Linked DNA regions of Struthio camelus. The main gene of each other region encodes a partner of the protein of the gene in region 2 in a complex. Links are inferred from orthologs where the notes say so. Each region holds a gene or a part of one and is shown on either strand. Other genes may lie near its edges. The genes, in order: RAMP3, CALCRL, ADM and RAMP1.

Region 1 (6,885 bases), on a different chromosome or scaffold from region 2:
GATATTTTATATATATTATATATGTATGTAGAGAGAGAGAGAGAGAGAGAGAAACTCCTCCAGAATTAAAAAAAAAAGTAGCTTTAATCTGGTACAAATAGTACCCCTGAAATGCAGACATTATCTAAAGGATGAAAGAGCAAATGTTTGGAGAAGGAAGTCAAAATAACAACCATTTGTTTAAAACAAAAAAAACAAAAACAAAAAAAAAAACACAAAAAACAACCTGTTCTGTTAAACATCCTGGTCAAGCCCTGAAGTTTCTCCATGCCTGTTTCTATACATAAAAAGAGAATAACCACATCTCAAAGTATTTTGCTAAATACATCATTGTTTCCAAGGTGATTAGATGACAGTAAGTAGATGCCTTCTAAGTATCTAAGGCTCTGCTAAACAAAGTATGAGGATTTCACCTGACAGCTCAAGTTTCCAGCTGTGCATCTCACCACATTTGGGATGTTATCAGCACTTCATAGGGGGAATCAGTACAGATTAACTGTTTGTGTACCAGCTGCCTCAGCTCACAGCTTCCCCGCACACCCACATCACAGCAAATCCCACTTCTGCAGTAATTACTAAGCTTCCAGGGAGCAAACACGCTGCCTGTCTTGCCATCCTGGCAAAAGAGTGATGACACTCAGCAGATGGTTCTGTATAGTGATAATGTTTTTTAAGAGCTTTAGACAGAAAGATATGCAGAAAGCAGTAGTTTGAGTTTAGAGAAGTAAGGTCTCAATCCCTATGCAGACAGAATTCCCACCGAATTCAATGAGAGCTAACACTGAGGCATCATGGCAACATCTTTACCTTAAAGACCGCATTCATGGGTCTCTGGTTAGCAGAAGCCATTAGGAAACGTGGAAGAAAACATGATCAATTCAAGTGAAAATCCTTCAGGAATAACTGACATAAAAGTACATTTATATTACTTGAGAAAGAACGACTTTGGTTTTCTGCCACTTAAAGCATTCCTTATCATGAGGAATTCACATTATAAAACTTTCAGAACTCCTAAATGGCTTTTCTAGCAGGAAATTAGTCTAATTGCATTTTGTTCTTCAGTGCATCTACCCTTTCAAACTTCAGTCAAAAGTAATACATTATCAGCTAACAGATACCATCAAAATCAGTTCTTCTGCAACCTTATGTTAGGAAAGCAACTAGCACAGGCAAAAATTTCTAACACCTGATTTAGTGGTTAGTGTCTCTCTGGTGAAAAACGTTTCCTAGCTTTCTGAGCTACAAGGGACGTTACTCCTCACTGCGCTCATTCTCTGAAAATAAATCTCCGGTAATCAGGTTTGTATTGTAAAAGTCACGACAACACCCTGATGTCTTCCCAGTCAAAAAAAAGACTGCTTGGTTCCCTAAATTTAACACTGAAAAAATAAATCCTTAAGCGTCAAGACAGGTGTTGGCCATTTTTTATTCTTTTTCAGTTAGGAAGCAACAAAAAGCTTGTGTGATCAAGGTAAGATTTTAGCAATCCTTGAGCCACAGAGAATCAGAAAGTTTAAGCATTTGATGTGTCATTCTTTTTACAGATCAAATCAAGACAGTGCTACCAAACCTTGTCAGAAACAACTATCCATTTATTTATAGGTCTTTTCACAGAAAGATGTGCAGTATTTGCCAACTTTGTACTTTGAAAGGGGCATCAAGTTAGCAAACAAAGTTAGAGAGTCCTCAGATAACCCTTTTAAAATGTATGAGGCCTGATTTTCTTCCCTATCTGTGACTCACAAGGAATTAACTCACATTTCTGGGGTTACTGTAGAGTGAGGAAGATCAGAACGGACTTCTCCCAGCAACTTTAAACCTGCCTACAGCACATTACATCTGGGCATCCTAAAGCAAGCTGCCTGACAAGAGAAAAATGAAGTACTTCTAACAGCAGAGTTAATCTTGAATTAAATAAATGAAGGCTCTGAAAGATATCTGCACTTTTACAACCGGCTGTTTGTAACAGAACACATCCTAACTGCAATCAATCCTTCAGCAGAAGCAGAAAACCCTCCTCTTTCCCAAAGATCAAACCTGCCTTCCCAGAATCAGATTTGGGATCTGACAGCTAAATAACAGCAAAAATCGGTCAGATCATCTTTCTTGGGGTGGGGGGAGGAGGGTAAGGTATCAACGCACAGTACAGCATTTCTGGATTTATCTCCTGGCAGTATCCGTCTGCGAGATGTGGGACCAGCGATTAAGCAGCCGCTCGCCTTGCTGATGTCGCGTCTTGCCTGCCCGCCGGCCCTAGCCGCTGTAGCCGGTGCGCAACCCGCTGTGTCACTCCCCACGCGGGGCTTCGGGAGTATTTCCCCAGCGAGGCCGGCGGCTCCAGCCCGCGGGAGAGCCGAGGGGGGCCGAGCGCCCCGCAGCCTCCCCGCCCGGCGCGGCCGGAGCGCGGCTCGGGCGGGCTCCCCCCGCGGGGCAGCCGCCCGCCTCTCCGCCTCCCTCCCGCGCCGCCCGCTCCCCGCGATGGCTATCGCAAGGGACACCCCCCCCCCCCCCCAGCCAAGAGATGATCCGCAGGGCCGGGGGACACACGCACGGCGGGGAGCTCCCGCCTATGCCCAACTTCATGCCCGCCCGCCCCCGGGGACGCGCTCGCACGGCTGAGGATGCTCCGCAGCCCCTCGCTGCCCCCCCCCCCGGCAAGGCAGGCGCAGCGGGGACACCTCGGTGGCCGCCGCTGTCCCGGAGCGCCTCGGCACAGTGGCCGGGACGCCCCCCCGGCAGGCGCCCCCCACTTACCCCACAGCAGCAGGACGGGGAGCTGCCGCCGGCGGCAGCAGCTGGGCGCCTCCATCCCGGCGCGGGCGGCGGCGAGCGGCCGCGGGGGACGGAGCCCGCATGGGGCGGCCGGTCCGCAGCCGCGCAGGGCTCGGGCCCGCCTCAGCCCCCCCACCGGGGAGGCTCCTCTTCATGCCGCGGCGTCCAGCCCCGGGCGGCGGCGGCGGCAGCAGCGGGGGCGGCGCGGAGGGGCGCAGCTCCTCCGCCCCCGGGTGCTCTGAGCGCCGGGGGCGGCCCCGCGGCCGGGCGGGGCCCGCGGGGGCGGGCTGCGGCGGGGCTGCTGGCGGGGGCGTAACGGCCTCGGAGGGAGCTGTGTGCGCCTATGTGTGCATGCATGGTGCGTGCGAACGCGCCCGTGAGTGCGTGCATTTGCGTGCCTGTGTCCATGCATGGGTGCACTCGTGTGCAAGCATGAGTGTGCTTGGGTGCACATGGGTGCATGTCAGTGCCTGCATGTGTGCATGCATGTTGAGAGTGCATGTGTACGTGTGTGTGCACATGTGCATGCATGCTTGGTGCATATGAGCGCACAGGTCAGTGTGCATGCATGTAAGTGCATAGGTGTGTGTGTGTGCATGTGATCACGCACACATGTCAGTATGTATTAGAGCATGCACATGTGAGTGTACACGCATGCGTACAAGTGCTGCCGTGCCTCTGGGCCCTCCAAGAGCCACAGCAAGCCACAGGAATCCCATGGGAGACTTCTTGCCCCCCCACCCCAGGAGTCAGAGTAGCCTCCCCTCTCTTGCTGTGACACGCTGGCAGCACGGACAAAGGCGTGAGTGGCTGGAGGTCACTGGGGACCAACATATTAGCCTCCTTAGTATTTACAGCTGAATATGTGCAGAGAGCTATCCTAACCCTGCACTGATGCCAGCACAGAGGAGCCAGGACCTTGAAGAAAATGCTTAATGTATTTTCCTGTTGCCATTTTGTCTCTGTACAGCTCTATCCAGAGGGGGAGTGGTACAGCTCCTCATTGTCATCAACAGTTAAAGGCTGTGTTCCTGGAGCTCTCTCTCTAGGAAATTAGCATCCCTAGCAAGAACCACCACACTGAGAAGCCACTAATGAAGCCTTTTCTTGGCTAACAATATTTATACTGTTCAATTTTAATAAGGAGCCAGAGCGTGTTTCTAAGTACAGGAACGCTCAACCTCAAGAACTGCGTGTGAGCAGAACATGAAGTTACTGCCATTGTTGAAGGTCGGATGTATCGCAAAACTTGAGACTTCAAAAAATGCTAATGTCCTACACAAGAACAGATGTACATTTCTGCATCAGTTGGGTTGTTCACATTGACTTTAAATACTGCCTGGAAGAGTAACTTTCAAAGTTTTTGGAGAGTTCCAGCTAGTGACCCCAATGCTACAGGATTATGCTACCGGTATCTGAAGGCAAAGTACTCCATACACAGACTAAAAGCAGCCGTCTAATTTATGCTGTTATCTAGGCTGAAGGAAATGGAAAACTTGAGAAACCACAGAGATGATTGTGAATGCAATGTGTTGAAGTGGCTCTACAGACATTCAAGTGCATAAGTTACAATGAACCTCCTTTATTTGCGTGCCGCTTCTTCCTCTTAGCTAAAAGCAAATCTGGTAAAATTCCACGGGCCATAAATAACCAATAGGTCAGGGAGATCCTCCTTCAACTGAGGGGCTGGCACCTCTGCTTTGCAAGGAGTATCTGCAAGCTACTCCTATCAAAAGGACTACAGAACGCAGAGTAGTGACAAGTATGAAGCTCCACACGCTGCAGACTCACTATAGCATCCCTCCTAACAGTGAGATTTCAATTTCCCTTTCAAAATCTGTTACAGTCAATCTCTGACATCACAAATAGTATTTCCAAGAATTTGGACCAGTCTTCAGGAGTGTTAAGACACTCATATACTTCATATACTGCAAATGATGCAGCATACATTATACATATATTTTACAATATACATTATGCAGGATTGGAGATGATGCAGACATTTTTCTTCTAATCTATTTTCAATATCTTCACCTGTTTCAGATTAGAAAAAACTCCATGCAAAACTGGCAGATTTCTAGATTCACAAGTTACTGCTTTCAACTAGCAAGATTCAGCCAGAACTTCCCATTTTATATCTGTGGCAGATATTATGAAGATGCAAGTAAAACCTTCAAGGTAGAACAACAGCTAAAATTTACAGGCAAATGCACTAATTTAGAAATGGTCCAGTTATAATAGAGCACAAGCAAACTATGCTGGCCTGTATCTTCAGCTACATGTATTAAAATGAGTAATTCTGATATGCAGGTATATCTGAACAAAATTGTCATGGGATTAGAACTATCAATAACAGGCAACTTTAGCTGTGTAAAGGCTTTCACTAACACTGTTTCTATCAGTTGCAGTAATGCTAATACATTTACTTCAGAAAGGCTGTGAACCTTTTTATTTTGCAAATCTGCCTCAGCAACTTCACATCTCTATACCAGCAGTGGAAATCTGTTTCGCCTTCAAATAAGAAATCCTACAAATTCTAACTGCTGTATATAACTCTAAATCCCTTCCTTGACAAGAAGCAGTAATAATATTCTCAAAAGTATAGTTTGTTGTAATTCTCAAAAATACAGCCTCCAGAGAAAACAACCCATTTTCAGGTACCCTGCAGAGAATGCTGCCATCACATCACTTCAAGCATTGTTTCAGATACTTATCCTCCTAATAAGCCACTGACTAGAAAAATGACAGCAACAGACAGGTAAGTGGCTGTCGCAGTGTTAAAGTTCTCAGGGAGTTTGAAACAAGAAAAGGGAGGTGGAATCAAGCCAGACAGGACAGGTATCATCATGAGCACCAGATCATTCATAGTTGTGTGAGATAATGTAATGAAATCTCATCTGCAGAGGTTAAACTGATCCTGCAGAAACAACTGTTCAGAAGAAAACTAGGTAAAGATACTACATCATGAAAAGTAACATTGCCCTTCCTTGTAGCATGAAGTGTTGGCCTTACAGAATACCCACTTGTCTGTGCAGATCGATATCTGATCCACTGCGGGCCAGAAGGTTTTCTTCTGTGGTTCCTAGCAAAATAAGTAGTTTTGTATAAAAGATATATTAAGATTTTAAAACCACATCTTAATGGAATTGTTTACTGAAATGAGGTCTGGAAGAGCAGGTGGAGGTTCAGCTCATCTGCCTTTTTTGTTTTTAAACTGAGAATATGTCATCTTGCTTTCAACTGGTTAATCTTTCTTCTCCCATTCAGCGGTCCTACGACCATGTCTTTCCTATTCCAGAAATTTTAAAAAAATACATAAAAAGGACCTGAATTAAAACCATTTCCTCCTCTGTGTTCTGCTTGCATAATTTCACGCAAACATTTTCTCCTGTCTTTTTTCTCCAATGTAGAAAAAATACAAATATATTAAAAATATTATTATTAGTAAATGGCATCTTCCTATGACTGAAAAGACATTTTTCAAAGACCAGACTGTGGTATTGAGTGCACATAAAGCTAAAATGATTTTAAGCACATCAAATTTCACTAGCTGAAATTCTTTATGCCTACATGACCTGAACTAAAGAGGGGGGAAAAAAAGACATTTTTCTATGTAAATACCTTGATTTTCACATAAGAACAGACACTGATTATGGGAGTACACAAATACTTATGGCACTGTTCCAAAACTTTAAGATACATGTGAATTTGGTCTGTGATTTCAGTGGGGTTCTTATTGGTTAGATGCTTAACTATCAGCATCATGTAGGTATTTCAAAATACTGTCATTTTCTGAGATGCTGAGCTACTCAATTATTACTTGGCAGCATTCCCATTGGTATAAAATGTGTACTTTTTTTAAAGGAATTGGAATATTCATATTTTGTTAGCTTTCTTGTATTTTAAAGTGCATTCATGCAAAAAAAAAAAAAAAAGAACATAGCAAGCTACTATTACACGCCATCAAGGCTAATAAAAATGGCTTCAGAAGTGTCAAGACAGACATCAAGGGAAAGCAGAACAGATATTATATGGAAATGAATTTACTTCCAGGATGAAATAAAGAACTAAAGTAGTTCAAGTGAATTTTATTTGCTGTGAAAGAGGATGACT
Region 2 (7,739 bases):
CGATATAGCCAATTCCAGAGCTCTGCCCATTTGCTATACCAAAGACTGAAAGCATCTCCCACTAACAGAGCAATTTCATGAGCAACTACGAGGCTTTTTTCAGTAAGTGCAAAGTTTAGCCAGAGAAACTACTACATACAAAACCCAATGACATTGCTACACGTGCTTTTAGAGTGGAGGTTCCATATTACCATAATACTAAAGCAGAGCCAGTAACGTGTGTTACTCTATAAAAATGATAGCTAGTCGGAAGCACAGAAGGAATTTTGCTAGAAGATCAAGAACACTGCAAACACATTGGGAACAGATGGGAACAACTTCTTAAAGAGAAATTCTATCTTGCCTTCCTAACTGTAGGCTTTGACTTTTCACTAGAGAATTGCCTTCAATTTCCTTCATAAATAGCTTATGTTAAGCTCAGTAGAAGTGGCTAGATACACATTTTTAAAATATCGCTGCCTATATTTTATTATTAAAAACACATTCATAGCAGTAGTTTCTTCCAAAGGACCTGAGCATTCAAAAATTATAGAAATTAGCACAAAATATCTGCCAGTACATACACAACACCAATGACTGGATGAAGTCTGAAATCAGATTAAATAATTCCCTCAGCATAAAAATATACCCACATTTAGGGATATCCTGCCCTCTGACAGTCAGTGGAAAAATTCCCACTGCCTCTAATTGGGCCAGGATTTCAACAGTTGTCTCGTATCAGGAGAAGTCCTTTCAAAGGGACAAACATTACATTCCTGAACGTAGAGCAAGATTCCTGCTGATCAGGAATTCAGAGTACAGTAAAATTTGAGGCGAACAGAACAGGACTTGCATAATGCAATTCTTGAGCTTGCAACCCATGCTTTATATTTATGTGCATAGCTTTGTACATTTAAAATTGAAGCCAAACAGTTCAACAGTTATCTGGTTATTGTCCATGCTTAATCTGCAAATGATATAGATTCTAGCCTCAGCCCTGCAAACACATGTATGTCTAACACTGCATAGGGGTGCAGTCTCACCACAATCTAAAATAGCTACTTAAGAATAGCATAAAAGAAGCTAAATCATTTAGCATCTTCTGCATTGATCATTTCAACAAAACGAGGACTCTTAAGTGTCCTCTTGTTTGACTTAGTACCACTAAATACCTTTTGTGCTACAGATTTTCAAAGCAAGACAAAGAGCTTGAGATTTCTCCTATATTCAGTGAAGTCAATGAGAATTTAAATAGACCACAAAAGTAATTACGGTGGAAAAACAGATCATTATTTTGAATTGAGCATTCCAGATGATATATCACTGTATGTAGTTTGAAAGCAATCACAGATTCAGACCTACTCTCATTTGTATTTATCCAGACCTAATATGACTCCTTTGAATCTATTTAAAGGACTTGGATTCAGAGCACAACGATCAGTCTTTCGGCACCTCACTGACCTGAGCAGGTTTAAATTGTTAAATACATTATTACTGCAAATGAATGACAACATCCCATAGCATGCACAATATGACTAAAAATAAACTGTATTGGCACTGTTGTAGCAAGCGCAAAACCTGGTCCCAAGGTGTTTAGCATAAGTTTATTAAGAGAGAGAGCAAAAAAATCAGCCATTTCTATTATTAGTTCAATCCCAGCCCCTATAAAATATAGGGATGACTAAATGAATCATTGCAGATCAAATCCAAGTGTTAGCGATAGCCTAAACTGTTTCTCAACTGTCCCTCAGAAATGAGAGTCCTTTTATTGACTCTACAGATCCATTGCTTACTTATACAAATAAGCAAATGGCTAGCCGTAGCAAAGCTAAATTATGACAGTCCCATCAAAATAATGCAACAGAACTTGTAAAAACAGAGGATATTGCATTTACTTTGGAAAGCTGAGGAGAAAACAAGTGACAAAACTCTCTTAACTCTTTATATTGGAAGGCAGGGAATCACACACTTCCCGCTGTCCACATTACAATAGTTTCTCAACAAGATGGGACAGTAGACAATTACCTTTTAGTAAATCAGTTTGCTGTATGTGCGTATGGAAAAATCTCAAACAGAAACACCCCAGCACACAAACAAACTTCAAATTCAAGCTAACTTTTTCCTCAAACAAACAGAAAGTCCAAACAAAACACAAGCTGTATCTTTTAAGTCTTATAATTAGGACATAAAACCTAATTATGAAATAACTCAAATATGATCTCTTTCTAGTATAATAATGGCAACAAGATTAAGAAAATATTCAGTAGGGAAATCTACAACAGTTTATCACCTAATTTGTCCTCTCTTGAATGAACTCCAGTTGTATTGAATTAGTCTTAAGGATCCTTTTCAAACCAATAAGCCTCTAATTCTCTCCAGATGCAAAGACAAAATTTGTTTAACTGTTATTAGGGTTTTAGACCGAATCCTTTAAGTGTTGATTAAGGTATTTTTATCACCCCTTCTGCCCATCTACCATTGATATCTACCTTAAGGATGTATTACAACAACATAAGTTATTTTCCTCATAGCCCTCTCTCCCTGCAGATTACAAATCACATACTGAGTTTAATGTAAAAGCACACACACGCAGCTCTTCCTTCTAGTATATCTAAAAATAGATGCATTCAGATGACACAGAAATATTGTACTTAGATAAAACAATGAAACTGTTTTGATCTGTACTCACCGCACACACTTCTTGTCAAAATGGTTTCAGATAAGTTCTTAGACGATCAGTTTGATTTCCCTTTCAGTGAGGGAGAAGAGAGATGTTTCTTTCCGTTCCCTCACCCTCCCCCCCCCCCCAGCCAAATAAAAGATCTACAGCCTGATCCCCTAGGTATAATCCAGTTACGGGAGCCTGGTGGCTCTAATGGGAGAGGTGACTGCTCTGGGGAGAAGAGCTGCTCTGGGCAGAGTTGGGAGCCTTGTCAGATGGTAAGTGAGCAGCAGCAGCAGCGAAACATCAGAGCTTCCTGTTACATCACAGTAACCCCGCCTGCATCTAGTGTTAAGTTACTTTTCTTTCTCAAAGGGCATATCCTAGGAAAGTGAGGCTCTTCTAATATTTCCAGACAAGAGTAGAGAGCTGCCTGACTGCTGATGGCTACCATGTGCTATCTGACAGCATTGTTCCTGTTGAGAGACAGTTTACTTTCACCTTCTCCGAGCTCAGCTGCGACTTGCCCTCTCAGATAAAAGCTAATGCTCTGAAACAAGTCAGAAAATACTCATTCCATTTGAAAGGAGACCACAGAACTTGTCTTTTCTCACATCACGCCAGTAAGATTCTTTCTCCTCTTCGAATTACATTCCCAGAAGTAAATCAGTTCAGACCTTTATCCAAAGACAAAAAATATGATAGCTGCATTCCTCCTTAATATGAGTGACCTGATCCATCTTTGACAAAAATTGCAGAGACTGCATCGTGTGCCATACTGTAAATGCTGAAGAGTTGTATTTGAAGAATATATTTGAAGAACATATTTCTCCGTATCAAACTGCATTAAGGGTCAGAATCCAATTTTCAAATTCAAGCAAGTGCATAGTTTAAAGCATCACCCTGTTTTTTTTTTTTTTTCCCCTCAAGGAAAAAATGTTGTATTTAAATAAAACAGTCTTTGAAATATCAAGGGTAGAAAAAAGGCAGCAGCATTGTTATTATTGCTAAACTGTAGCATACACTTTTTTAAATGCTAGTGATTTTAGAGCATCTATTATGAGCTGCCTAGTTTGGAAAATGGCATAATTGAAAACAAAGCTGCATTAAAGGAAATCTCTACACTAGCTTCAAAGAATTATACATTAGGACTTAAAAGTCTTTCTTTGCCAGTACTTACATCACTTGCCCTTTGTACATTGGATATCTGTGCTATAGACAGTCAAAATCTGTTCTCCAAATCAATGGACACTTGGAGCGTGCCCATGATAATACCAGGCTAAACAAATGAGAGTTCATGGAGCATTAAGCTCGAGCACTATAAGCACTTCTAACACGAGTAATCCCTTCCTGAGGCTGGAGTTTCATAAGATGTGCTCAGCAACCATGACCACTTAATTTGCTCACAGAACAGGTATTTTGCTTGCTCCTCACTACCCATTGCTCATACACTCCTTTTCATCAGCAGAAATGTTCATTGAACATGTTGTACACTGGAGGATCAGGGAACTGGTCTGTCCATTGAAAATCTTTTCCCTAAAAATGAAAAATAAAACAGCATCAAAACAAAACAAAACAACCCCAAGCCGGGGTAAGGAAGTACTGGAAAGAGAGGAAAGAGGGCCAGGAATACTTTAAATCCATATTGCCACTGGACAATACAAATTGTAAAATCACACTCCAAGCTCACTAAAAGAGCAGGCATGTGACTTTAATACTCATTTAGCATATACTGGGGCTTCTAGGATCTGACATCAACAAGAGAATTGTTTCTGAGTTTTATAATCAGTGAAGAATTAAGAACTGGCACTCTAAATGTAAACAGAAGTAAACTAGGGATTAGATCTGATTTTGAACAATGATGTAAATTAACTTCTCTGAAATAGACTGTGTCACCTCAGGTGGTAAAATTTCACCAGAAGGGAGCCTGGATACATTATTTTAGACCAATTAGGTCTAGGCTATATAGACAGCAACATTGTACATAACACATTGTAACCTAGATAATAACCTATGCGTTCTAGCCAAGCACTCACGTTCAAGATAAGCTCAAAATCTGAATTAGCCTGAAAGATTTATCACCTGGGCAATGTTTGATTTGGCATGCAAAATTCAGTTGGGTTGGTGTTTTTTTCTTTTTTTGGTAAATTAATTTTTTTTATATTCTACTTATTTAGCTGTCATTGGAACTTTCTTACACCTCCTCTTCAGGTATTTGAGGCATCTCAGCTGGTGCAATTTGCACTTCAAAGACCTAGAAAGGCCCCCACACTATTTTAACTCCTCCTCCTTCTAGCTGAAAGGCGTGTAAATCACACCAATACAGACTCCCATGGTAATCAGCAGTGTCGGTGTGAGCAGTTCAAAAGGGATCTAAATGAGCACAGCTGACTGCACTTTAACCAAAGAAAGCTTAAGAAACGTGAAACAAACCCACCGTATTTCCCTCTCTTATCCCGAGTTTTCAGGAATGAGACTAACCGGAACCAGCTATGAGAATTCCCTTCTCTGTTGTTGCGGTTATGACAAGCGCCTCTCCCCTGATTATAAAGGCGCTGTCGGAATGGCCGGTTCTCCCCCAGTTTTCTTTCCGGACAGCCAGCCAGCCAGCACAGCAGCTAGCACTCTCGGCCGTGTCCGCGGCCGCAGACTCCATGCATCCTGACCTTGTTCGCTGGAGAGACGCACAGCTCTTTCTAGCAAGAAGCTTCCATTCCCAGCGAAGGGCTGCAGCCGCTTTTGTTCCGCTGTCCGCCGGCGTGGCCCGGGCGAGGCGGCCGCCAGCGGCACGTCCTGCGCCGCACCGGGCGGCGGCGGCGGCGGCGGCGGCGGCGGCGGGAGCCCCCGCGGCGGCGCCCCCGCGCGGCGGCTCCGCGGGGCTGCGCTGCCACCTGGTGCGCGCCGACCGCGGCGCAGCTGGCGCGCTGTCGGAAAGGGCTCCCACTTTCAGGCCCGCGGCACTCCGAAGAGAAACACGAGATTTGCAGCTTACTATATACCCCGCCTATTCGTAGAATCAGAAATTCAGGGAGCATCTTATTTGTACGCTATTTCCTCTTGGCACAAAATAAGTATGCCTAACTAACACACAGTCGATGAATGAAAAAACCAGTCACATAAAGAAGCATCACGACAACAGAATCCCAGCTCAGCTCGCTATAGGTTTAAAAGAGATTATGGGATCAAAACCAAGGAAACCTCAGAAGCTCTGTGATTGCTAATGTATGTCTATAATTAGAGTGTATATTTATGCACCCTTAATAACTATAAATATATATTCCATTTTGTTCAACTATAAATACATATTTCACTTTATTAAATATGTATTCCAAAACATATCCACTTTATTTTTTTCCACATCCTTTCTCAAAAGAAGATAAAAGAAATAAGTCATAAAGCATATTGTCTCTACATCCTCATTAACACGTTTGAAAGGTAAAATCTACAAGGATGAAGACAATCTCAAAATGTAAATAAATGCATCGGTTTTGAAAAAGCGGATGGATTGGAGTTGCAGGGAGAAATGCTAGCTCACAAGGAAATGGAAGAGAATCAAGGGAGAGAAAATAAAAGTAAAAAGGAGGAAAAGAAGGGCATACCAGGAAAAATGTGAGGAAAAAAAAGTTGAGTAAAAGACATCTTAAGTTGTTTCTCAAAGACATTTTGCTTCATCATCTGCTTGGACTAAGGACACATACCAAGTTAATGCAGGTCAGATGATATATGGAAACTCATCAAATCTCTATAACTTCATTGCTTCAGCTTGTTGGCTCCCATCATATAATGTGGGGCAAATTTCACAGCACTGTGCATATTTCCTTCAAAGCAACCGAGGTGGATTCTAGAATGAGAGGACCGAACGAAAGGACTCCAGTCAATTCCAAGTGCACAGTCACTGGCAGCACACTGCTATAGCTCTATTTTCTGACCTCTTCACTATTCTGCCCTCTTATTCCCTATTTATTCCCCATATATGTTCCATTTATTCCCCCTTATATGTTCACCCTTTAATTCTGAGAGATGCTTAGGTCTTCTTCCTCTTAAGTTTGGTTGTTCTGCTGATACTGTGTTGAAGACCCAGGAATGAAATGAGGCGAATGAATACAAAAGGCATGAAAGGAATGTCTGGATTTGATCAAGATACAACCAGATTACACTGTAGTTTGCATTCTTTTTATGAGAAAAATTAACTTGATACACTGTGGAGCTATATGAAAAACATGGTAGGAAGATAGAGCTGGTATGGTGACCAAACCCACAAGAGTACGCACCAGGAAGGAAGTGCACTCTCAGATTAAACTTCTGATCATAATCAAATCAGTTTTTATTTAGATTCCACAAAAAAATCTAAGCTTTCAGGTCAGAAATATTAGCTTGATACTGGTTCTATTCTAGTTTGGGATGCCCAGGTTTCGTAAGAAACTCTGCCTTTCTTCCTGCATTCATATACTCCATGAGGAATCTGCTCTCTGTGTGTAACAGATTTGGAGAATATAAGGCCACATTTCCAACAGTAAGGAGTGTCTGTTTCCTCATTGGTGAAAGGGATGTATTTGACTGAAGAGCAGTTATAACATTTAGAGACAGTTTTTAAACTTACTAAAACAGACCTCTCAAACCAGATATCAACTCATCGATCAAGACCCACGGCAGGTCCGTATAGTCTGTATACTGACCACAGGATCTATTTCATGAATGAACACTTCACGTTTTAAACTTTTTCTCTAAATACTATTTCTACCTTTTTTCTTTTAACTTTACTTTGTAAGGGATGATTACATGGAAGTACTTCTCACCTTTACAAACAGTATGACAGAGGAACTGATGCTAGCTTCAACTGACAAAAATAAGCACTACCTTTATGGAATCAGTCAGAGACAAAGAAAAAAGGAAGAGGAAAAGCTGGACAATGTCTCCAGGCCTTTTCCTAAACCCTTTCTCTTCTAACTGCCTGTCCTTTATTTCTATGTAGCTTGCCAGATCCATGAAAATCCCTTGTTTGGGACCACACATAACAAACACTATTAGTAAAGGATTAAAGTTTTTTTCCAGTGGAACTGATGCTCTCCTTTGAACAGAAGGGGAACAGATTTCAAAC
Region 3 (6,856 bases), on a different chromosome or scaffold from region 2:
ACATTCACAATATGAAAAATAGAGGGGATACAATGTCTTAAAATGCCCTTATGCAATATATATATATATTTATATATAAAAAAGTATAAAAATAAAATATATTTTTCCAAAAAAAAAAAAGATACGAATAGGACATGACACGGGACAATCTTAAATATCGATACGAATCTCATGACCCACACACACCGCACTTATAATTAACAAAAACCATGTACAATTGCACTTTTCCTCTCTGTGACGTTCAAGTATGTCGCAGTCCCCGCAGGGACTAGTGAGTGTCCGATTCCCTGCCGGGTGCAGATAACGCAGAGGGTAGAGCAGGTGTGGGGGACCTTTCCTTGCGGAGGCTGAACGAGGCCTGTCAAACAGTCCGGGGCAGCGGGCGAGGCCGCGGCCACGGGCTCGGGGGTCGCGCAGCCGCGGCCGCCCGGGGACGCACTCGCCGCCTCGGGGCTCGCCCACGTCCCCCCGAGCGCTCCCTCCTCGGGTCAGACGAGCAACCCACCTCTACCGGGGCACGGGGGCAGGGGCAGCTCTGGCTGTAGCCCGCTGGCGAGGAAGGCCCGGCCCTGGTCCCGGCCCCGCCGGGTGCAGGGGGCGGGAGGCGGCGCGGGCAGCGGGGCGACGTGGCGGCCGGCGGGTGGCGGAGAGCCGGGCGCGGGCAGCGGCCCGGGCGCCTTCCAGTCCCTGGTCCCGCTGGCGCGGGAGCCGGCGGTTCCTCGCCGCGGTGGAGGGTGAAGAGTCAACGACCGCCCCACCGCCGCGGCAGGCGGGGAGCGGGGTCGGTCCCTGCACGTCCTGGTGCGCGACGCGGCCTTCGCAGCCTCCTCGCGCGGGGCCGCTCGCTCCGCCGCCCCCAGGTCCCAGGGGGTCTCGCCCCCCACGCGGCTCCGCGCCTCCTCGCGGCGGCTCCCCAGCGCCGGCGAACCCTCCATCCGTCTCTCGGTCCGTCCGAGACGGCCTCAGCCGGGTGGTGCGGCGCTCCCGCGGCGCTCAGATCCCGAGGACGGCGGCGAGGGGCTGCGCCGGCCGCGTCCGGGGGCGCCGGCGGCGGCGCTCGGGCAGGGAGCGCCGCCTGCGGCCGTAGCCCTGGGGGCTGATCTTGCTGACGGGGGCGGCGCCGTCCTTATCCTTGTCGGTCAGCTGGTAGATCTGGTGGGCCAGCTTCTGCACCGTGCACGTCCCGAACCGGCACCCCGTGCGGATGGCTTGGAAGTGGGGGAAGCTGTTAATGCTCTGGCGGTAGCGCTTGACGCGGATGTGAGCATCCTCCCGGCTGCTGCGAGGCAGGAAGAGAGCGGGCATGAGAAAGGCGTAGTGGGGCCTGGAGGAGGGGACCGCGGGGGTTGGGGCGGGGAGGGCACGGGGCCCCCAGGCTGGAGGCGGGCCTGTCCTGTCGGTGCACCCCCCTCCACCGGCTCTGCCCTCCGCCGAGCGGCGGGAGAGGGGCGATCTGGCCGCGGAGCAGAGCTTGCTGCCTATGGAAGGAGAGGCCCCGCCGTTTAATGGCTGTTACTTTATCTATGGATCCAGAGCTCAAGTTACTATTTATATCTGACTTTCACAGTAAAGGCGCTGCTATCTCCCGCCAGCTGAAGTGCGCGGGGAAAGGGATGTGGGAGGCTGCTTTCAGCGCGTTGTGCAGCCCCTGCAAGACCTGTCCCTGGGGCTTGGGAAATCCATAGCGAAAAGGAGCAAAATACCCGGAAACAAGGGGACCCTGAGACTTTCCGTTGTCCTCAGCAAGTGTCCGAGCCCAGAGAGGACTAGAAATTACCTGGGATGCGAGAGAGGAGGATCCTCCTTCACGTCCTGGCTCCGTATGAGGGGCTGCACGGCGGCGGCTGGCCCCAGCCCTCGGAGCGTGCCCGAAGGCTTCACGTCCCGCTTGGCTCGGCTCAGTGCCCATTTCGTCCATCTGAAAGGAGCGCAAGGGAAGAGGACAGCCTGTTAGCGCGTGCAAGGCAGCAGCCAAGCTGAGGAGAATCGAGGGGCTAAAATCTTTGCCAGCGCCGAGATTTTTTTTTATTTTATTTTGGATGTTTCCTGAAAGGGCACGAGGCCCTTTAGGAGCTGTGCTATTCCCGCAGGGCATTCAGTTCCCTCTGATCTCGGCCGGAGCCCGGCGCGGAGGCGCGGAGGCTCCGCAGCTCTAAAGAGCGGGGCTGGGCGCTGGCAGGAGGGCGCGCTCCGATACTCACTTTCTTTTGAACTCTGTCGCAACGTCCACCCTTGCAGCAGCATCCACCCCGAGGAAGGTCACAGAGCCGAGATAGAGCAGGGCTACGTGAACCACTTTCATTCTGGCTGAACTCCTGGTGGAGGGAGAAGAGAAGAATTGTAAGCATGTTTGCTAGTAAAAGTTAAGTAAGGTCTGTGCTTTTTTTCCTGGTGGTTCCAGAGAACTCCTTCCCTCGGGATATATAGCTCCTAAACTACTGGAAACTTTGTGTGTGATATGAACCAAAGGCTAATATTTTCTCAGCAATTTATCACAGAGTAAATAACAGAGCCTCCAGAGTTTACATTTGTCGAGACTTTTACTTGCAGGGGCGGCTGAAAACCAGCAGGACTGCCAGAATACCCCCAGTGGCTTGCAATAGGATTTAGCAGACCGATGAGATTAGAAAGAGCTGCCTTTTAGAAGCATCGTCTCCAAACTCCAGCAAGTGTTTTGCTGCCTGGAAGCTTATCCTCTAATAGCTCATCTTCCCCCTTCACATGGCAAACTAGCTAGTTTGGGATTTATGTTGTAAACTGCAGCTGATGTCAAGAGCCAGTGCAAGACTCAGCAGCATAACTTCAAGCACGTCAAAACAGCTCAGATTTAGTAGGTTTCCACTACCTCTCCACCTCCCCTACACCTTTAGGCGGGGAAAAAAAAGGTTTCTTACCTGACAGTGAGGATAATCCACTGAGACAAATGTTGTGGTAGTAGCGATCCGAACTTGCACGGTTTCCTGAGGGCTCGCTCAGGAGCGAGAGCTCCTTCTTTGTGTGCCTGGGGTAACCACTGCCGAGCTGCGCTCCACCGCTCCCTTTTATACAGCAGCGCGGGGGAAGTGGGTGGACCTTGGCGCATCTGGCTGTTCTCTGACACCCCCACTCCCATGTCCCGACCACTTCTTAATCATACTAGCATGGACTGGGGGCACCCCACAGTAGGGTAAAAATAAGAGGATTAATGAAAATTAACTTAAACAACCCCCTCGGTATTCTGTTGATTGTAACAATGGTTTTTAGGTGTGGATTCCAAGTCATGGCATAACCTGGAAAATCTGATAAGCCCCTCGTACTGTTTAACTGGGGACAGTCTGAGGACAGACTTTTTACCTGCTGATATAGAATTATGTTTACACGGTCTGTAGCATAATTTCTCTTTCTAGGCACATTAGCTTTAGGTGGGTTGGAGAAGGGGTGTAGTAACTAGACCCAATCAATTTCAAAATCTATCAAATAACAAAGTTTCAAAAATAAAGCCATATTTGGACAACTTGAATTACAATGAGTAACTGCAATGAAAGTCAGCCTTCATTACATAAGTAAGGAGGTGACAAATCAGCTATCATTAATATTTATGACTCAACCTGGGTGCATTTTTATCTAATAAAATTTACTTGATTTGCTCGATCGTTTAAAATAAATCACATTTTAAATGGTATCGGAACAGGAAGGTTAGATATACCTTTGAACAAAGGAAGAATTATTGCTTTGGACCAAGCACAGGTTAATCTAAAATGCTTGGGGTTACGAACTTCAAGAAAGACTTGTTGTGGGTCATTTTACCCCTAATTCACAAACCTTTATATACGTGCCTAACCTTTGTTAACAGGCCAATAAAGCTAAACCAGTGCATAAATATTTGCAGGATCAGATTTATTTGCAGTAAAACCTTGGTCTGTCTACATATATATATATATATTTTTTTTTTTACAGTCTTCAACATCTTTGCTCTATGATGCTTTGGAAATGTGGAGCTCTGGCTTCACAGGGGTTGCAGAAGCCAGCACCAGATGGACCATTTCTATACTTATTTGTTGCAGTGCACATTCTGCGGAACCGAAGGAAATGCCCCCGGCAGACCTGCTGCGTCAGGGTCCCCTTCCCAGCGACAGATGCTCGAGCGTACGAAGCAGCGGACTGGAGTCTGCGGGATGTTTCACTCTGCTTGCTCCAAGCAAAGTATTTAAAAAAGCAGGTGAGTACTTACTTGTGACTCTACCTTTCTAGATAACCGCGGTACATGCTACACCCTGCAGAGGTATGTGCAAGGGGGTGACGGAAACTTTCCTATGCGGCTGACTCGGTCTGAGGTGCTCCCTCCCTTGCCAGCAGCGTGCAGGAGCCCTTCTGTCTCCGGCAGCTACCTGTGCTCAGGAGCCCATGCCCTTCCCGGCTGCTGCCCTCGGTCCCTCACACGCCCTCTGCGTTATCAGCCGCGCAGCTGTAGCTTGGCATCTGCTGGAAGGTGGGTCAGCACTCATTTTGGATGCTCACGTCTGCACCCCTGAGCCATCCAGCCTTTCTCCCGCACGCCCCTGGCGTGGTCTCCAGGGGTGAGGCTGCTCCTCGGCCGCGAGCTGGCTGCCGGGCAAGCCCCGTGCGCTCCTGCGCCACACCTGCTGGACTGCCGCGGGCCGGGGCCGGGCAAGCCCTCGGGCTCTCTGGGAGCGGTGAGAGGTGCGGGTCCCGCCGGCCCCGTCCCCGCGGCGCTGCTTCGGCGGCAGTGCTCCTGCTGCCGCTCCGCCGCAGCCTGTGCTCCGAAGCAGAAGTGCACAGAGAGGGAGGCTTGTCGTGTACACTCAGTGAGGAAGAAATGGGGAAACAGGTGGTCTAGTAAGGGACTATATCATGACAAGACTACACAAGCGCATCAAATTATAATGACGGTATTTTAGAGACCTCGTGAGGCAGCTCAGGCTCGAGCGAGTCCAAGCATTTCCCTGATCAGCAGAAGCTGAAAGTGAACCTAACTTTTCTGAATGAGAGGGCAGGATTTTGTGTCATGGGCATTGCTTTGAGTTAAACAATCTCTCTTGTTCCAGTAATAAAATCACATACTTCCCCACATGCTGGAAAATCCCTCATTAACATCCTTGGCCAAAAGGGAAGTGCAATTTGTATACTCTTGGGCAAACAATACAGAAAGAATCCTGTGTGGTTTCAGGAATTATAATATAATAATATAATAATAATATTTCACACATGAGTTCAATGCTGATTACAACTGCCATTTTAGTGATACAAAATTAGCTCGTTCTGCCTCATGTGGGATCAAACTTTGGCACAGGAGTTATCAGCCAAAATGCAGTTTGTTGCTGACGTGATTTGTGAAAGGGCTTCAGGGGGTAAAGCTCGTTTCATATCTAACACAAAACATCATGTTCTCAGTTCAGCTGTTCATTTTGTTCTTCCTAAGCATCTGCATTCCTACATAATTTGAAAACGAACAATAATCACCAAATTTGTACTATGACATTAAAGTGCCGCCTTTTCAAAACTTATTTCATAAATAGTGAAGTTACTTACATTTTGAAAAACTGACACAGAACATTCCCTGGAAATGTTATTCATGAAGTATTATTATGAGGCAGTTCATGCAGTTCAGAGAGACTGGACTCTCCTCTGAAGTGTAGGCTCTCCTCTCTATGCTGCCTCATCCATTGGGGAGAAGTTGGCCTGGAGGAACATCCGGCTCTTGTACTTGTTTACTGATTATCTTGGGCATGTCATTCAACCTCTCAGTGTTCTCGTATGTACAAAAGACTTTACAATATGTATCTGCTCTTGTAGGGAGATTGTGAAGATTAGTTGCTGTTTGGATAGCATTTTATCCAGGCTAAGTTTTATTCCCAAAGTAAGACTCCAAAACCTATATGCACCAATGAGGAATTAGCTTGGGGCAAATATTCTGTGCTGATTATGCAAGAATATCGTTTGAAGCCAGTGGAAGCTCTTTTGTATGTTTCATTTGGGCTTGCTATGAATTTTAGTGAATTCATATCAGTGAGTAAGAATATATTTGATTGTATTTCATATTGTATGAAATTGGTGCAAAGATGATACAATAGAAGCATCACACCTTATGAAGCATGTAAAGCCCCAGTCAAGTTCTATGCAAGAATGCCTTGCTTTTAGTGCACTCAGTCAGCTCTATCTGTGCCAATATGTTCAAAGGAATTAGTGTCAAGGGACAATTCCATTTTTGGTACTCTGATTGGAGATGCTTTAGTGAGTCTTATTATCTGAAAGGTCTGAACACACCAAACAAAGTCCCCTAAATCAGAGTGAGATGCATATTGGTGCGGAAAAACCTGCTCGGGGTCATGGCTCCTTCCCTATTCTGGCAAAGGGTGTCACTAAGCTGACAGGTGACATTGGATTGAGAGACTGCATGAAGAGTGTAACCTTTATATTTCCTGAAGGAGTTGACTGTACAAGGAACTGTAAACCTTCACATCTATTTGGTGCTAAGTACATAGTTTGACTGCGGCATCAATATCCCTTGTATGCTTTCACTCTCCTGCAGGGTTATAGCCCCACAGTTCTTTCGCCAGGGTAAACCTGTGGCTGCTTATTGGCTCCTTCTGGAGACCTAGGCCTTGGTGGCCACCAAAAGCCACTGCTCTGCGAGCCCCTTCATCATGCAAGAGAAGCTGGGGCTACTCTGTTGGAACAGAGGGAATTTTGTTATTGGTGGTCTAGATGAAAGTTTTTTACTTTGCCTCAGACTTTAGGAGAGCAAACAATCTGTCTGCTTCACTTCCTCATTTGTCCTGTAAGACTATAACAGAAGTCAATACTAAAGGGAAGTTAAGGAAGTAAGTTACAGATGACTGAATCCTTTTGCTGTCCA
Region 4 (7,009 bases), about 11 Mb from region 2:
GGCGATTGCCCCAGGAAGCCCCCAGAACAGCCCTTCCCCAGGCTCGCGGAAATCTCTCCCCGGCCGAATCCCTGCTACCGGGACCGAGGCAGGACCAGCCAGCGGACGCCCTGGATGTAACCACCTCCAAGACGAGAAGGTGCTTCCAAGACTAATACTCTTCACGCAAACAAGCAGATGGCCCGCAAAGAAGCGACCACACGGATAAATCAAATGCAGTAAGGCGGGAAACAGAATAAACGGCCGCAATGCCCCGTGGGCGCGTTCATCAGAGGCTGCAAAGAGGAGCAAGTTGCCTAAACGCTTTCGACATAACGGTTTCCAGACTACAACCTTCCCGCGAGCAGCCTGGGAACAAGCTATTTTCCTTTTTAAGGGTTTTCTCCCCTCGTAAGCGAGCGACGCTCTGCAGCCAGCTCTTGCAGCAGTAGGAGCTCGCTCGGGTCTAGTGATGACTCTCAGTTTGGACCCGTCGCTTTCAAAGCTCTCAGTCCATTCGGCGAGAGCGAACGAGGCGCGCTGCCTCCTGCCTGCCGGCCTCGGCAGGGAACCGCGGCCAAAGAACCGGGAAAAGCCCCATTTTTTAACCTTTACCTGAGACCTCAGGGTGCGGCTACACCTTGGGTCTGCTGACTGAGATTGCAGCTATTTTTGGACAGTTGACATCCTCACCGTCGCGGCTTTTTAAGGACTCGGCAGCCAGCTGCAAAGTCGCTTCAAGCCCGGGCAGCTCAAAAAGGCTTTTTCGGCATAGAAAAGGAGGCTGAGCTGATGCTGCCAGGACGGGCACCCCCGGGGCCAGGGGGTGTCACGGTCCTCGCTGAGCGCGGAGCTGCCTCACCCTCTCGTGGCCCGGAGCGGGGGGGGGGTTGCACGCGGATTTAGGAGGCAACATCTGGCTCGGAGCTAACGGGAGTCTGGCAGCGCCAGCTCACGGGCTCCATCCCCGCAGCCAAAAAGCCCTGCAAAGGCTCCTGCGGGAGACAGGGAGGACGCGTCGAATTGGTGGCGTGGTTTTGGTTTTTTTTTTGCTAATAGTGCAGAATGTGCTCAAAAAAAAAAAAAAAAAAACCCAGTGAAGAGAGGACGCAGGACAAACCAAACGTACCCACCGCTCAGCGCCGCAATTATCTGTCATCTATCACGGCTAAGTGGCTTGCACAGAGGGAGCCTTCCTGCTGCCACAGGCTGCTGGGAAGGCAAGAAAGCCCGAGCCGGCTATTCTCGAACCGCAGCGGCACCGTTTCTCTCCCTTTCGGACCGGGGGGTCGGAGAGTGGAGACCCCTCACTAAAACCAGGATAAGCCAGGAGGGAAGCACAACCAAGAAACAGCCATGCTCCCGCAACGGGGTCAGAGATGCTCACGCACCGCCGGCCCAGCCGGGATTTCCCACTGCGTTTCCGTTTTGCCGGCGAACGAAAGCGGCAGACGGCATGGCAGAGGCTGGGAGAGGGCGCTTGTGCTGTACGGGTTGGTTTTAGTCCGGATTTGGGGTGCTGCAGCATGTTGTTGCTCCGCTGGAGGTTTCCCAGTCCCTCGACCGGCGAGGCCGTCCCAGTTGTGAAAATAACCCCCGGGAATCCCGCTCGCAACTCAAATCCTGCGCTCACAGCTGGGAAAAGCGGCCCACGACGGCACACACAGGATCCCCGCGGCGTTACGGCTCCGGGGACGGCAAATAAACACGAGGGGTCGGTGGGTTTTGTTTTTTTAGGACTGGGCTCTCGCTAAGCATTCCCGACGGGGCTCCTCCTCTTTTTTTTTTTTTTAGCAGGTTACTATAATATTACATTTGATTGTCTCGCGTGAGAAACAAGGGGGCAACCAATGCTTAACCTGCTGGCGGGTAAGAAAGCCTAAGAAGCTGATTTCTAATTTGTTTTTAAAGAAACAAAGGGGAAAGGGACTAGAAAAACACAGCAGAGAAAAATCCGAGATAATCAAGAATTGCTAATCGCAGGCATTAACATGATACTGTTTCCTGCTTCGTCAGGTACACTGAGCGTTTCTCTACCACCGACCACGGAGAATGCGTTTTGTCTGACCGCGCCGTCTTGTATTTCCCTGTGAACAGTCACAGGCTGCAAGATAGTAAATAGTTTATGACGCTGCACGGAGAAGAGCGTTGTATGCGGCGGAGCTCGATACATTATTTACCAGGGTTTGGAGCAGAAAAAGAGCGCGGGAGAACGGACAGGAGGAGAAAGAGAAGAAATCTGAGTTTCCTCAAAGAGTGCTTCAGTTTCCTGCCAGCTCAGTGTCACAGGGATGGTGTGCGGTTTCCCTTTTAAGTCACCTTAAATAAATACGCTTCTTATTCCGAGTGCTACCAACGCAGGGTCCGGGTTTTTTCCCCCCCCAGCACTGAAGAAGGCCGGAGCGCCCTGGGCGCAAACCGTCGCGTAGCGCGAGAATTTCCAACCTGATTTTTGGACCGGCAGCACCTAGCGAGTCCGAAACCTCCGCGAGGGAGACGAGTGGCGAGAACAGTCGCGGCCCTTTCCGCGTGTCCCGTTCAGAAACGGTGGTGGTTGGGGGCGGCGGGGGGGGATCCTGAAACAGCCTCCTGGTAGCTGATCTGAACTTCTGGAAGAAAGGGCAGAGGAAGTCATCCAAAGCGAGCAGGCTTTGGGAAAACCTAAGATCTCAGAAAGGGCGTCGGGCGCAGCGGGGCGCGCCAGGGAGCACCGCTCGCCCGCCCCGGCACGTTTAGGGGCCGCCTTTAGGCTCCTTGCTATTCCCCAGCGCTCGGAGCCGCTGGGACGGTACCTCCCGGCAGGAAAAGGACGCTAACGCACTGACCCGAGGAACAGCCCGGCTGCCTCTAAGCCCCGGGCGGGGGTTTCGGCGGCGGGGCGCGCACTCACCCAGCACGAAGCAGAGGAAGCGCCGAGGTAGGAGAGCCGCCATCCGCGGCGCCGTGGGCCGCCCGCCCGTGGGAAGGGCGCGGGGGCGGCCGCGCCGCTCAGCCGCTCCGCGCAGCCACCTGCCCGGCGGCCGCCGCCGCCTCCCGAGCCCCGCTGCGCGGCCGCCCGCGGGAGCGCCGCCGGGCCCTCCCTCCCTCCCTCCCTCTCCCGAGCGCTTTCCTCCCGTGTTGGGATTTCTGTCCTGTAAACCGTCTCTAACTGGTTTGTCGGAGTGGTGGGTTTGTTTGGTTTTTTTGGCCGGGGGGGGGGGGGAGCCAACCACTCTTTGTGATGACTTCAGCTGAGATTTGTCACGCCCAGCTGAGCTGGAGTTAACTCCATCTTCTCGGAGCAGGCAGGTAGGTGTCCAGAGACGGGGAGCGGGGCAAGGGAACGGAAAATTTCTCAAAGGAAAACCCAAGGAAATCCTTTCTTCCCCACACGTTTTCCTTTGCCCTCCTTCCATTTTTTGCTAAGGTGCTCCCTCTAGCCTAAGGAGAAGAAGCATGCCTTCCCTTTCTTTGTTTACAGACTCTTGGACACTACCTTCTTGTGGTCATGCAACTTCAGAAAGAATATACATACATGTATACGTACACACAGGCACCCACCCACCACATATGTATGTATTACTTGGAGTGCAAAAGCATTGTTGAGCAAGTAGAGCTCCACCTGCAGCTCATCGACTGAACTCTTGCCCAGCCCGAATGTGGAAAGGTGCCTCGCTTGGGCTCTTCAGAAATTTAAGAGCACACACATCCAGACGAACGAGGTCTCCAGCTGTACAGAGGTCAGGCGGAGCAGGAGGTGCTCCTCGCCACCCCACAAACGCCTTCTCTCACCGTTTGAGTTAGCTCTCCCTTTGAAAAGGCTGCATGAACAAGCAACCGCTGCAGCGTGCCAGGCCTCGTTTCAGCGTTTCAACATTAGGCATGCGTCTGCCTTCCCAACAGGAACAAAGCCACAAAGTCAGCTTTACCTACAGCACTAATAACTCCTGTTTAATTACAGAATCAAGTCTGGGGAAGGGAAAGGGCAGCATTGGCTGGCCAAATAACAGGGCAGAGCAAAGCCTAGAGCTGTTTTAATCTTGATGTGAACGGGGAAGAAAACAGACCCGAGGCCTCAACTGCAGCTTCAGGATCCAACTTAAAAACATCAGCTGCGAAACACAGTGCTAGGCTTTGAGCACGTTGTCTGCAATAGTTCTGCTACGAGGAGAGGGAAGAGATGAAATGTGAAAACAGCAAAACATAAGCACAACTTTTTGAAGAAGAAATTTTAACCTTTATTCACAGGCAAGACAGACTCTTTTCAGCAGCAAATGCAGCCTGGATCGAGAACAAAGTATAACAAAGAGAGAGATTTGGACAGCCACAACGTACTGCCTCGCCATGCGATACGGTAACATGGGCCTGGCAGCAGCAAAGATAGTTCTCCTCACCCCCTTACCAGACACATACACCCAAGCTGCCTTTTCTTCATCTGCTAGAAGAGGATTTAAAAGCTATACCCCTTCTGTACACTAACCACACACACAAAAGAATACGCTTGCATCCCCCCCATCCTTCCCCCTCCCCTTGTGTCAACTTATGCAACGCAAACCAAGTTTCCTCTGGGGGATGTCCCACTATACCAGGCTATGTGGCACAACGGAAGGATTTAGGCACCCATCCTCTGTTTACAGCCATGGAAGTGGATTTATAAGACCAAAAAAAAAAAAAATTCCATATTCTGAAAAGAAGTCTAGGGTGGAACATCATCCTGAAGGAAGTATTTGGCCATCAGACTCAGAAGCACGTTACAGAACTGCCAAATGAAAATGGACTCAAGATCACTCTGCTCCTGAATAATTGCTGCTGTTGTAACACTGCAGTTTACGTAACAAAGTCCATGAGTATGGGAAACACTGAGGCCTGGTTTTGTAAAACAAAGCTTCCTCTGACGTCGTCCCTTCCCTGCCTTGTGTTAAAAGGATACGTGAGATTTCTACAAACTATTCAGAATGAGATGATCTGGAAAGAACTTAAACACGTTGGCAATTTATTAAACATGTAGTACTTTGAACCAACTTACCAGCTACCTAAAATGCCTAAAATTAAGAGGTGTATAAGAATTAAGGGGGTTGTCTACTTCAGTGATCACTAAGCATAGAAACGTCCTTCCAGTATTGGAGAAGTCCTGTTTCACTGAAACATTCTCCTTTAATTATATCACTTAGAGAAACCTGTTGTTGAATGCTTGAGCCAACTGTGGAGAACAGGAAAACTGGGAAGAACCACTTAAGATCTTCATACACAAAAAGACACCCCCAAGCGATCTTCAGGTTATTTTGTCTCGCATAAGACCACAAATCATGCGATGATGCTACGTGAATTTTCATTAAGATCCGCTGCAGTAAAACCAGTAAGAAACACAATATGATCCTGGAACAAGCTGGAGTACAGAGTTTGCAAAATCTTCCAAGCGAGATGATCAATTCCTCCTTGTCAGAGAAATCACCTTAAAAACAAACAAACAGAGGAAGCAGGTAAATTTAGCATGAATACACCTGAACTGAGATAAAAGGAACACCAGCAAATTTAGCGTGCTAGAAAAATCAGTAAAAGCTATGATAATTTTGCTACAGAGTTTGGAGGAAGTCTGCATGCAGAAGTTTCCTAGCTTCAAGAACCATGTGAAAGAAGTGATTAAAAAGAAAATAAAATATATAATCTCTGTGTAACAAATCTGGTCGACACTGGTTTAAAAAAAAAAAAAAAAAAAAAAAAAAGGAAGATGTAAACTTTACATTTTAGAAATCCATTCCTAGAAACCAGTTTATAGTATAAAAAACAAACCGAGTTTCGCTACCAGTTTTCTAAAATCCAGACTTGAAAGCAGTGAATACTACCAGTGTGTGCATTTGGGCTGGACAGAATTTCGGTATCACTCAGGAGTGCCAGATGGATACCCTTAAAATAAAACATACTTGCCAAAAGACACTGTACAGATTCCATGCATTTCTTTATGTTGCTCAAGTAATGCATTTTAATCATGATTTGATGGGACAAATCTCAATAAGCAGAAAATGTCTGTTTTTAGATCTTTACTATTAATTTCATGGAAAACTACCAACTGCAGACACTGGCACTGTAAGGGAAACGGCCATTTTTAATACCACTCTGAATAGCTGTCATATCATCGCATTTCTTGTTAACTGTTGACTGCCATTAGGTTTAACAACCTCTCACCTGTTCTAATGAACTTATGGCTTCAAAATTAACAAATATGCAAGATCTATAAACATTTATACATCAACCTCTGGGCTAATTCAGCCAAAGCGGGGCAGGGGGAAAAAAGTGAGTCGGTAGGATGCTTTGAAGCTGAATTTGTTATGCATAAAATGCTGCGTAACACAGCTTGACATAAAAGTAGTATCTATAAAACTGTGTTCCATGTTTCACCACTTTGCAAGAACATAAGGTTTCCAAGTGTTTACCTTTCAAGGAAGTCTGAAGCTATACACAAACCAGAATTTCTATAAAAGAACTTTGACCAGAATCATTTTTTCTTAAACATTTGACTTACACGCTTACAGTTCTTCCATTACTCACTAATGACTTGGCTATTTCACAGCTCCCTCATTATGCAAGTAAAAATTGTTCTAAATGATCTCTCCTTAGCAAAGCCATAGACCAAAAAACACTACTGTCGAAGTAATTCTGACTGCAAAGCACTCATGCTATTTTAAAACCATTTGACAAGCGCAACACACGCGAAAGCTATTAAAATCTTACTAATGGAAAATACTGTGAAGTATAACATAAGTTTTTTTGATGAGTTTACATCCGTATTTGCAATCCTGTAGAAGTAAATCAGCAGATCACTATTAAGACTTTTTTTTTAAACATTGTTTTGATTCGTACGGAGCATCAGCAAAAGCTTACAAGGTAGTCAAGTGCCAAACCAACAAACGTGCATTACATTAGTCACTGCAAAAGGAACTCAGCCAAGCATGCATATTGGTTGGGAGTCTTTCACCCTCACCATCACTACAGCAGGTATAATCTCATGCTGGATTTAAAATCCTATCCAATGTTTCTGTATTCAGCACTTACT

Evidence for each region.
Region 1: the proteins of CALCRL (region 2) and RAMP3 are in contact, whole or in part, in a cryo-EM structure (PDB 6UVA), measured with the Homo sapiens proteins. The link is inferred for Struthio camelus from reciprocal best matches to the Homo sapiens genes CALCRL and RAMP3. Residues at the interface, in NP_001258680.1 of Homo sapiens: Arg38, Asn39, Met42, Thr43, Gln45, Tyr46, Glu47, Tyr49, Gln50, Met53, Trp69, Asp70, Ser117, Arg119, Thr120, Phe228, Leu231, Ile235, His238, Thr239, Val243, Val245, Lys249, Gln250, His251, Trp254, Tyr255, Phe257, Leu258, Phe262; in NP_005847.1 of Homo sapiens: Trp56, Cys57, Leu59, Phe62, Ile63, Tyr66, Glu67, Thr70, Cys82, Tyr83, Pro85, Asn86, Pro87, Leu88, Gln90, Ile93, Thr94, His97, Arg98, Cys104, Thr105, Val106, Asp107, Arg108, His110, Leu111, Glu112, Asp113, Pro114, Val118.
Region 3: the proteins of CALCRL (region 2) and ADM are in contact, whole or in part, in a cryo-EM structure (PDB 6UUS), measured with the Homo sapiens proteins. The link is inferred for Struthio camelus from reciprocal best matches to the Homo sapiens genes CALCRL and ADM. Residues at the interface, in NP_001258680.1 of Homo sapiens: Val36, Thr37, Asp70, Gly71, Trp72, Asp90, Tyr91, Phe92, Gln93, Asp94, Phe95, Asp96, Pro97, His114, Ser117, Thr120, Trp121, Thr122, Tyr124, Thr125, Asn128, Val135, Ala138, Leu139, Leu141, Phe142, Thr145, Thr191, Leu195, Ala199; in NP_001115.1 of Homo sapiens: Cys110, Arg111, Phe112, Gly113, Thr114, Cys115, Thr116, Val117, Gln118, Lys119, Leu120, Ala121, His122, Gln123, Ile124, Tyr125, Gln126, Phe127, Thr128, Asp129, Lys130, Asp131, Lys132, Asp133, Asn134, Ala136, Pro137, Lys140, Ser142, Pro143.
Region 4: the proteins of CALCRL (region 2) and RAMP1 are in contact, whole or in part, in a cryo-EM structure (PDB 6E3Y), measured with the Homo sapiens proteins. The link is inferred for Struthio camelus from reciprocal best matches to the Homo sapiens genes CALCRL and RAMP1. Residues at the interface, in NP_001258680.1 of Homo sapiens: Asn39, Met42, Thr43, Gln45, Tyr46, Glu47, Tyr49, Gln50, Lys51, Ile52, Met53, Gln54, Thr68, Trp69, Asp70, Gly71, Arg113, Arg119, Thr120, Phe228, Leu231, Ile235, Thr239, Val243, Ala244, Gln250, Trp254, Tyr255, Leu258, Phe262; in NP_005846.1 of Homo sapiens: Trp59, Ile63, Tyr66, Arg67, Ala70, Phe83, Trp84, Pro85, Asp90, Phe93, Leu94, His97, Gly98, Phe101, Arg102, Cys104, Pro105, Ile106, Ser107, Gly108, Arg109, Ala110, Val111, Arg112, Asp113, Pro114, Ile118, Leu119, Phe122, Ile123.

What each region holds. Positions count from the first base shown.
Region 1 is NC_090943.1:62,832,025-62,838,909, reverse strand, and holds the start of RAMP3 (receptor activity-modifying protein 3), read right to left. Parts: upstream 3,013-6,885; 5' UTR 2,810-3,012; coding exon 2,755-2,809; intron 2,168-2,754; exon of another isoform or gene 2,153-2,167; coding exon of another isoform or gene 2,143-2,152; intron 1-2,142. UniProt on the Homo sapiens protein: Accessory protein that interacts with and modulates the function of G-protein coupled receptors including calcitonin gene-related peptide type 1 receptor (CALCRL), calcitonin receptor (CALCR) and G-protein coupled estrogen receptor 1 (GPER1).
Region 2 is NC_090947.1:15,873,040-15,880,778, reverse strand, and holds the start of CALCRL (calcitonin gene-related peptide type 1 receptor), read right to left. Parts: upstream 3,012-7,739; 5' UTR 2,669-3,011; intron 1-2,668. UniProt on the Homo sapiens protein: G protein-coupled receptor which specificity is determined by its interaction with receptor-activity-modifying proteins (RAMPs). Together with RAMP1, form the receptor complex for calcitonin-gene-related peptides CALCA/CGRP1 and CALCB/CGRP2.
Region 3 is NC_090946.1:23,983,508-23,990,363, reverse strand, and holds the start of ADM (pro-adrenomedullin), read right to left. Parts: upstream 3,011-6,856; 5' UTR 2,895-3,010; intron 2,316-2,894; 5' UTR 2,303-2,315; coding exon 2,202-2,302; intron 1,919-2,201; coding exon 1,778-1,918; intron 1,280-1,777; coding exon 994-1,279; 3' UTR 1-993. Other genes in the region: SBF2 (myotubularin-related protein 13), read left to right, coding at 4,069-4,198. UniProt on the Homo sapiens protein: Adrenomedullin/ADM and proadrenomedullin N-20 terminal peptide/PAMP are peptide hormones that act as potent hypotensive and vasodilatator agents. Numerous actions have been reported most related to the physiologic control of fluid and electrolyte homeostasis.
Region 4 is NC_090947.1:4,641,745-4,648,753, reverse strand, and holds the start of RAMP1 (receptor activity-modifying protein 1), read right to left. Parts: upstream 3,016-7,009; 5' UTR 2,913-3,015; coding exon 2,870-2,912; intron 1-2,869. UniProt on the Homo sapiens protein: Accessory protein that interacts with and modulates the function of G-protein coupled receptors including calcitonin gene-related peptide type 1 receptor (CALCRL) and calcitonin receptor (CALCR). Required for the transport of CALCRL to the plasma membrane.